Neurospora crassa OR74A: one gene and its partner. The protein of the gene in region 1 purifies or fractionates together with the protein of each later gene. This does not show direct contact. Links are inferred from orthologs where the notes say so. Each region holds a gene or a part of one and is shown on either strand. Other genes may lie near its edges. The genes, in order: crf6-1 and ckb-1.

The links.
Region 2: the proteins of crf6-1 (region 1) and ckb-1 purify together in Saccharomyces cerevisiae (affinity purification with mass spectrometry, with the first as the bait; 5 studies listed by BioGRID). This does not show direct contact. The link is inferred for Neurospora crassa OR74A from reciprocal best matches to the Saccharomyces cerevisiae genes CHD1 and CKB1.

The regions. Positions count from the first base shown.
Region 1 is NC_026501.1:4,381,027-4,385,610, forward strand, and holds the start of crf6-1 (chromodomain helicase, variant), read right to left. Parts: upstream 3,114-4,584; 5' UTR 2,946-3,113; intron 2,816-2,945; exon of another isoform or gene 2,493-2,815; 5' UTR 2,465-2,492; coding exon 2,051-2,464; intron 1,997-2,050; coding exon 1,967-1,996; intron 1,912-1,966; coding exon 1,815-1,911; intron 1,751-1,814; coding exon 1-1,750. UniProt on the Saccharomyces cerevisiae protein: ATP-dependent chromatin-remodeling factor which functions as substrate recognition component of the transcription regulatory histone acetylation (HAT) complexes SAGA and SLIK. It recognizes H3K4me.
Region 2 is NC_026506.1:1,759,391-1,763,437, forward strand, and holds ckb-1 (casein kinase II regulatory subunit), read left to right. Parts: upstream 1-1,319; 5' UTR 1,320-1,752; coding exon 1,753-1,911; intron 1,912-1,980; coding exon 1,981-2,823; 3' UTR 2,824-3,365; downstream 3,366-4,047. UniProt on the Saccharomyces cerevisiae protein: Regulatory subunit of casein kinase II/CK2.

The DNA of each region.
Region 1 (4,584 bases):
TCCTCGGCACCCTGGAACATGTACGGGTGGTTACTGACTTTCTTCAGCTCCATCATGATGTTGAGCAACGATTGCTTGTGGCCGTTGCTCGCGTCGCTGAGGGCAGCATAGTTGCGTGTGAGAATGTTCTTGTAGTAGTCAAGTTGCACGTCAGACAACTCAACTCGGATGATCTTTTCGGTTTTGGGGGGGAGGTCCGACTCGACCGTCTCCTTGGTGCGACGCAAAATGAAAGGAGCGATTGACTGATGCAACTCGCGGAGCTTCTCTTGGGTCCTGATACGCCTAGCCTCATCCTGTTCTTCATCAGTGGGACCTTTGTTATCTGCGGTAGACAACGCTTCAAGCTCCTCATCAATGACGACCTTTCCGGGGTTAAGGAAGTCGAGGAGGGCTGAGAGTTCGGCCAGATTGTTCTGAATGGGTGTGCCGGTAATGAGGACCTTGCAAGGAACGCCGAAGTTGTTGAGCTTGATGTAGAGCTGTGACTCTCGGTTCTTGAGACGGTGGGCCTCGTCAACAGCGAGAACTTGCCATTTGATGTTCTTGAGATGATCCGCATCGGCCAAGATGTAGTCATAGGAAGTGACTAAGACATTGAACTTGGTCTTCTTTGGGTTACCATCCACAAAAAGTTCGTAATCTCGAATGTTGGACCGAGCTGCCTCCGGGCCCAGGTAAACGACGTAATTGAGATCCGGAGCCCAATGATTAAATGTATCGCACCAAGCGGGGATGACGCTAAGAGGAGCGACGACAAGGAACGGTCCTTCCTGGCCGCGTTCATTCCGTAACCAGCTGAGGAACGAGACGCTTTGGACAGTCTTTCCCAGACCCATTTCATCGGCTAAGATGACGTTGTTGCCCCTTACCCAGTTGAGAGCAAGGAAGTTAAGGCCTTTCATTTGGAACTCGCGAAGCTCGCCGCCCTTGATATAGTCAGGCTGCTTCTCCAGTTTGGTCATCCTCGACCGGGTATCGGGGTTAGTTTGCTTGCGGTCAGACTGCCATGACCGGTTGCATCGGTCGAGGAACTGGTTAATCTTGTCCTGAGCAAGTTCGGCCACGAGAGACTCGGCTTCCCAGGTGCACTCGTCGTATTGCAGGCCCTTCCACTTGATGTAATACTCGGTGCCCTCATCACCGTCTCTGACAGCCACAACGCGCTCGACCTTTGTGTAGTCTTCGAGGGCCTCTTGCTCACGTTCTCTATCCAGGTACCACTGCTCTTTCTGCTCCGGACTGATATCGTCGCCACCGAATTGCATCTCCAGTTCGTACTCAACAACCTTCTTGTAATAGTTTTCGAGGCGGCGAAAGCCTCGGAAGCCTGCGACAGTTTCCGTAGTTTCCCAGGTGTTGTGGGGATATGATTGTCCCTGCCACTTGATGAAGTATTCAAAGTCGTGTCGCGTAGAATCCACCGTGACCTCGACACCCTCCTTAGGACGATGACCGAGGATTTTCTCGATGTATGGCGAGTTATCCTCGACATTGGCAGACCAGTAGTTGGGGGTAAGCTCGGAGTCGTCCTCTTCATCTTCTTCGGCGTCACTTTCTTGGTAGGCACCGGCTGAGACCTGGGCGGCCCGACGGCTAGACCATCTCTTTTCGCTAAAAGCCAAGGCAGGGTCCTGTTCTTGTTGCCTGCGGACCTTTCTTTGGAAGCTGCGGGCTTTGGCGCCTCCATATGTGTCCGAGTCGGAATCATCGATTGAGGGTTGGCGAGCAGGAGTGCCACGCTTGGAAGCTGGAAATCACGACAAGTCAGCAGTGAAACAAAATGCCGAGGAGTATGACGGATGAAAACTTACCAGGCAACGAGCGTTCAACCCGACGTCTCTTCGCAGGCTTTCTAGACACCGGTGTGGCATCCGATTCGGATGGTTCATCTTCTTCATCTGAGTCGATCTGTTTACTCAGTTAGGAGAGGCGTAACGACGAGAGCTCATCTTGATCCACTTACGATCTGCGCACGGCGTTGTGTAGGGCGTGACTGTTGTAGGTCGTTAGCATGGTATAACACAACAAGAATGCGGGATATTCGTACACTCCTCCTCAACCCATACAGGGCAGGATTCTCTCTGATGTAATCATCCTCGGTCGCGTGGGCGACTTTGCGCTTCACGACGGTACGGGACGACGAGGCAGACACGACTTCGTTGCTCTGAGCAGACCTGGGGCTATCGGGGGCGTCAAAGTCTCCGTCATCTGACGCGTCGTTATCACTTGCTGAATCGGACGCTTCCTCGAACGTCAACTCGGGTTTTTGTATCGGCGAGACAGCCTCGTCGGCAGGCTGATACGACTGGGCGTCGGCGTCGTCATTTGGGTCGGCCTCGGCGGCATTAACGTCTGAAAGGTCGCTCGTGCTTTCGGTATCGTTGGTAAAGTTGAAGTGGCTGTCATCCGCCGGCGGTGACACATGCCCGAACACCGGACCGGATTCGGGAGATGTCGACATTTTGAGACTTAGACGCGGAGGCTGCCTGCTGTAAGACGACGATGTCAGCCAGCGGTACGCGTCATTTACGAATCACTACTTGGGGCGATGGAAAGAGGCCACTCTTGCGACCCGGAATCATCAGAGAAATCCGGTATCGGGGTAGCGGACGACCCTCAATGATGATTGTCGCATTGGCTCGCGTGTAAGTGATGGAGGCAAGGCTGTGGATGATGAGGCGGACGGCGACGGCGATTGCAGTCGCGTGTGGGCGCCCTGAGGGCACGGGAGAGCAGGCCATGGTCTAGGGCAGCTGTAGAGGCGATATTCATCAAGAATCGACGGTCTGGCGACCTCTACAAGCTGGTAGACGATGGATATCAAGGGCGACGAGGCCCGCTTCGATGGGCGAAATGATGGGGAAAATGCAAGGCGAATACGCAGGGCAGGGCACGCAGTGGGCAGTGGGCAGTGGGCAGTGGGCGGCAGTGGCTGGACTCACAAGTCATGGAAGAATTAAGAGCCTCCAGGCAGCAGACTGCAGAGTGAATCTTCAAGCCCGAGATTCACAATCGCGGTGCCGTGGGAGGAGTGGTGGTGGGGGAAATGGTCAAGGCCGGAGACCCTGGGAGGGGGCTGGCAGTGGTGATGGTGTAGCGGAAAATCGCAGTGATGGACGGAGGAGAAGAATCCATGAAAATGGTGAACCAGAACCAGCAACACCAGTGGGCCACTGCCTGGCTTGTGCTTCAGACGAGGCCCGCTTGCCCTCAACTCAATGCTTGCTCAGTCCCACTTTCTGATTGGTCAGTTTCGTTGGAAGCAACCTCCGAACTCAAGTGTGGGACCGCCACATAAAGGTTCCAGCTCCGTAATTACCGAAACCGAAATGTAACGCGTGTCTTGTGATCTGACCACTTCAATGATGTTCTCTTTCACTGGATGGTAGCGCCAGGAGGAAGCACACTTGCCTAATCCAGTCCGATGGGCGCTGTCACGATCCTTGCCCGTTTTGCTCACAACGCACGAATTTCAGTTGTGTGACGAAGATCTGTAAGATCAATGTTTCTTGTAAGTTTGGGTTTGGAAAGAACGAATAACAGGACACAAACCCAACGCGGCTCGAGCCTGGTCGGATATCATTGCTGGAGCTTGCCAGCTCGTTGGTTGCCCACTCCGATCGTACCCTTCCAGACGGCGTGGGCGGTGTGAGGCAGGCGAGAGCGGGCGATTCCCGATTCAATTGCTTGGAGGTATGTATGGTTATGACCGCTCAGCTATCAGGTTATACAACACTGGAAGAAGTTCAAGGATGGAATGTGGTTGATATAACAACAAATGATTCAGAGAAGTGTTGTTGTCGGTTGATGGCACATCGACTGTGTACCGGTGCGACTTGGGAATCAACAAGGTGGGAAAGATGGAAGATGGACGACAAGCTGAGAATACTCCCGGTACGTGGACGTCGCCCGGTTTTTCTAGGTAGGCATGCTGGCGTCGAAGGGGTTTTCTTTGTCAGCTCCGGTGCAGGTGCCAGCCATGCACTGGTCTCTCCTGGTGCTTCACTTCAACTTGGTACACCGCGAGCACCGGCACCAAGGTGATTTGGATGATTTCCCGCCACTGGAGCTCCGGCTCGAAGAGAACCTACTGCGAGCCGACGCAGGCAAACCCAGGCAGGCAGTCAGGACGACAACATCTTGTAGGTGATTGTGCGGGGCCACCTCTATTTAACCCATTCCACAAACGTAATCCGAGAGCCTCCAAAAGTGTCAAAGAGAAACAGATATACCTAATCAAAGATTTTATCCTCGTCTCATGCCTATCCGACCAAAGAAATACCAGTCCTAAACTCCCTTCAGATTATGAGTATGTCCAAGTGGGTATGGTAGAGGCACCGCTTCCCTGGCGCAGCTGGAGCAGATCCGTCCAGGACGATGGATCCACACGATCCCGTGCTGCTGGGGCCACCAGCCTTCCTTGACTGCCAACATTGACCTCTGTCGGCAACTATCTTCAACGTCTTGATGCCGATGTCATTTCTGCCTCGACAACATGTGGAATAGACTGCTATCAGAGTAGATTGGTTGTGAGTCACTGCCCGGCCGGGGCGCAGGAAACATATGTCGACAGGCAGCCAG
Region 2 (4,047 bases), on another chromosome or scaffold:
TATAAACTATATAATTTTAAAGGTAATTAAGGATTGTCCGCCTAACCCATTAACCCCATATTTATCAACCGTAACCAGTATAATAACTACTATATATTCTCTTATAATAAACCGCCCTACCGGGTAATATAGTAAAATACTTAGAGAAGGGGGAGGGCGCTAATATTTATATTTCGCTACTATAGTAAAAGTAAAGGAGGAGGAGGTATTTAACGAGCGGTAACGTAGGAGTTAATAGGAGAGGGCCTTACGCGGGTAGATTTAGAAGTATTTATTTAGAACTTTATAGAAAGTATTATATTATAGCAAATATTAATATTAAAAATACCGCTAGCTCCCTTACCTTCGCTTTTTTACCCCCCAACTCCCTTATAGAGAACTCTAACACCCTCTCTATCTCCTTATCCCTAAGTTTAATAATAGCCGCTAATTTAGTAATAGCCATCTTATAACTATATACTAACTCCTACCGGCCCTAATTAATTCAATTATAAATTATTAGCTTCTATTAAATAGCTGCCTTAATACTAGGATAGTCCGCCACCTTCTAACTAATAATAAGGGGAGGGATAGGTTATACTAGCAATATAGTATAAGCGAATTCCAGCCCCTATAGCACTACCTCTAATATTTCTAGTATATTTATAGGGATATAATATAGGGGTTCTCCAATACTCTAGGTAGTACTTTGGATAGTATTTATACAACGGGTATTAAAATTAGGGTAGGCACGTACACTCTAACTCTAGGCAATAAGTATAGTATTAGAACTAGCAAAGAGGACAGTAGTATTACTAGCAACTATAGTATTAACCGCCTTAGTAGTAGATTATTAGGATAATTAACTAGATTAACGATTTTTGAATACCCTTATATAAAAAAGAATAACGTAAAAGACGTAGATCTAGTAATGCGCGGGCATCGGTTACGTGGCCTCTATTGTATGTGTGTACTGGCTGGGCGGCTGGGCGGCTGGCTGGGCTTACTCAGCGAAAGTATGTGGGGGGGACTAGCCAGGGACCAGTTTGGGTCTAGCCAGCTACCTTTTGCGTTCATCAACCATCACCAAATGGACCCTTTACTTATCTTGGTTCCACCTGATAAAGTAGACGGTTGGGTTCCGACGCGCTGCCGCACGCGCATGTGGCAGGGCTCAGCAGGGTTATGTGAGAAGGCGCAAAAATCAGGCATCATACTACCGTGGGGCTGGGCGCGGGGCTGCTCCCTGCGGGAAGGGTTGAACGAGGAGGATTGGGAAGGGCCCAGACTGAAAAGACGGGGCGCGCCGCACAGACCAGACACCCACGAGTGGGCTGTAGCACGAAATGAGGGCGCGGGCTTCTTCTCGAGCAACCCCAAAAGGCAAACAGACTGAGCCATCGAGTCGACGGCCTCCGTTAGCGCAAACTCCAAAAACAGCACAGGAAGGGAACCACCAACCACCTCCTTCGCTGCAACACCACGTAGACAATCATTGAAGCGCCTAGCTATTCTGTCTGTCCTTTCGTCCATCTATTTGCGCCATCTCATGCGCTCGGTCATGTCTACGCAATAAACAATTGAACCCTTCCATCCAGCATCGCAGATGAGCGTCGACCCCAAGGGACACTAGCTATACCCAGTCGTCGTCTTGCGCCTTTCGATCGCACTCATCAGATAACGTCCGATAGCGGTACCAACAGCCTCATCGAACGCCTACTCCGTCGCCAAACACTCGAATCGTTTCGCGTCGCTTCCATATCCAATTCCACCATGTCGAGCTCGTCGGGCGTTCCAGAGTCATGGATCGCATCTTTCTGCTCCCTCCTGGGACACGAGTATTTTGCCGAAGTGTCAGAAGAATTCATCGAAGATGACTTCAACCTTACTGGCCTGCAGACCCAGGTCGCCATGTACAAGGAGGCTCTCGAGGTATGCTTGTTCTGGAACCTTTTTGTCCGTTACGTCAGCAGCTAATCATTGTGGTTTTAACCTGACTAGATGATCCTTGATGTCGAGCCCGAGGACGATGATGACGAGGAGGAGGAGGACGAGGAGGACGAGGAAGACATGTCCGGTGGCGACGGCATCAACAAGCCCCACGGCGAAAGGAGACATCACAGCCGCATCGCGAGCGATCTTTCTGTGATCGAGTCCTCGGCCGAGATGCTGTACGGTCTGATCCATCAGCGCTTCATCTGCTCGCGGGCGGGTATCCAGCAAATGTCGGAAAAATACGAGCTCGGTCACTTCGGCATCTGCCCACGCACAAACTGCAACCAGACCCGCACGCTGCCCGTCGGCCTCTCGGACACGCCCGGCGAAGACACGGTTAAGCTGTTCTGCCCGTCTTGCTTGGACGTCTACGTACCGCCAAACAGCCGCTTCCAGACGGTGGACGGCGCCTTCTTCGGCCGCACCTTTGGCGCGCTCTTCCTCATGACCTTCCCCGAATACGACTTGACCAAGACCGGCGCTGAGAGCGTTAGCAATCTCACACGATCCGGCTCTGACGACACCACCGTCATTAACGGCATGTACGCGCGCAACATAGCGCCGGGGCTGGGCAGGGGCAAGATTTACCAGCCCAAGATCTACGGGTTCAAGGTGTCAGAAATCGCGCGTTCCGGGCCACGCATGCAGTGGTTGCGCAGCAAGCCTGACGACTTGAGCGTGCTGGACGAGGCTCGTCGCTATGCGGAACAACAAGGGTCGGATGACGAGGACGAGAGCATGGGTGTGAGCAGCAGGACAGCTTCGAGGCGGCGGGGGCCTCCTAGGAGGCAAAAGCAGAACGGGAGTCCGATGGCGATCGAACAGAATGGGGCTGAGTCGGAGCTTTGAGGTCGAAGTTGTAGGCTGGAACTTGGGTTTAAATGGATATTGAAAGGGGAGGATCAGGTTTTGTAGGTAAGGAGTAAGGAATTGTGTGCGCAAGCATCTGGACAACGGACTGTTGATCACTTCTTTTTTACATCTTCCTCTAAACCTGGCATTGATTTGTATCACACGCACAAATATCCTTTGGGCTTTCTTTCTGATTCTCTACGTCATGGCGGGGGAATGGACGGACGGGTTCAGGAATCGGTTACAGTAGCTTGCAAGAGCGCTTTTTGGTTGGGTTGGGGTTCTTCTTTTTTCTTTTCCTTTTTCTATATCAAGGTTGATTTTCTCTTACACAGCGAACTCGGACGTAAATTCGCATTCCAATGATGATTGCATGCCGGTTATAGACGATGAGAGGAGGACGCAATATTGTTCGTTCCTCTTGTGGTTTACCCGTCAGTTCGCAACGCAGTTTTAAATTAAATCATCTTGGTTTTTCCACTTCACTACCACCCCCTACGCGGAGGAACCCCTTCTGACCATGGTAGCTACATTCCAAGATAGGTATTTTTGTTGCTGGCAAATATGGGTCCGTCATAAGCCGGTCATACGGGAAGACTCTGTCAGTAACATGACCATCGGATTACTCCATCCTTTTATCTATGACCTTTTTTGTTTCTTCCTTTTTTTCATTTTCTTTTTCTCTTCCAACTCCCCCCCCCCCCCCCCCCCCCCCGACCTACAATTCTTGTCTTTCTTCAACAGTCTTGTTGACTATTCTCTCGATGCCATACTGTCATGCTGACTCACGCAGATCTTAGCCTGTCTTCTTCCTATACTGCGGCTACCGAATTTTGGGATGTGAATTTACAAAATACCTACCAATCAGGAAAATGGGTTCACATCTCACAAGCGTATGTTACCAATCTCATCAGCCTGATGCAAAGAACGACCGACGACGAATATACAAGCTATATTAGTATTGACAGAAGAAGACAAAGTAAACAGATTGTGATTGTTGTTGAAGACAGAGATGGATATGCCAATTTATTCGAGGAGTGACAGATACTCAAGTTGCTATGTACCTTGCCCGAATCTTCGGGCCCGGCTCCTGCCTCTCCGTAACGACGTGAAAAAAAAGATTGTGATATTAGACTTTGGGACATCTAATGTTACTGCTACTGTATACGAGTGAGAAATGCGCAAATAGGCTACGGTGTGACTCCAACTCCGCATTTCAAG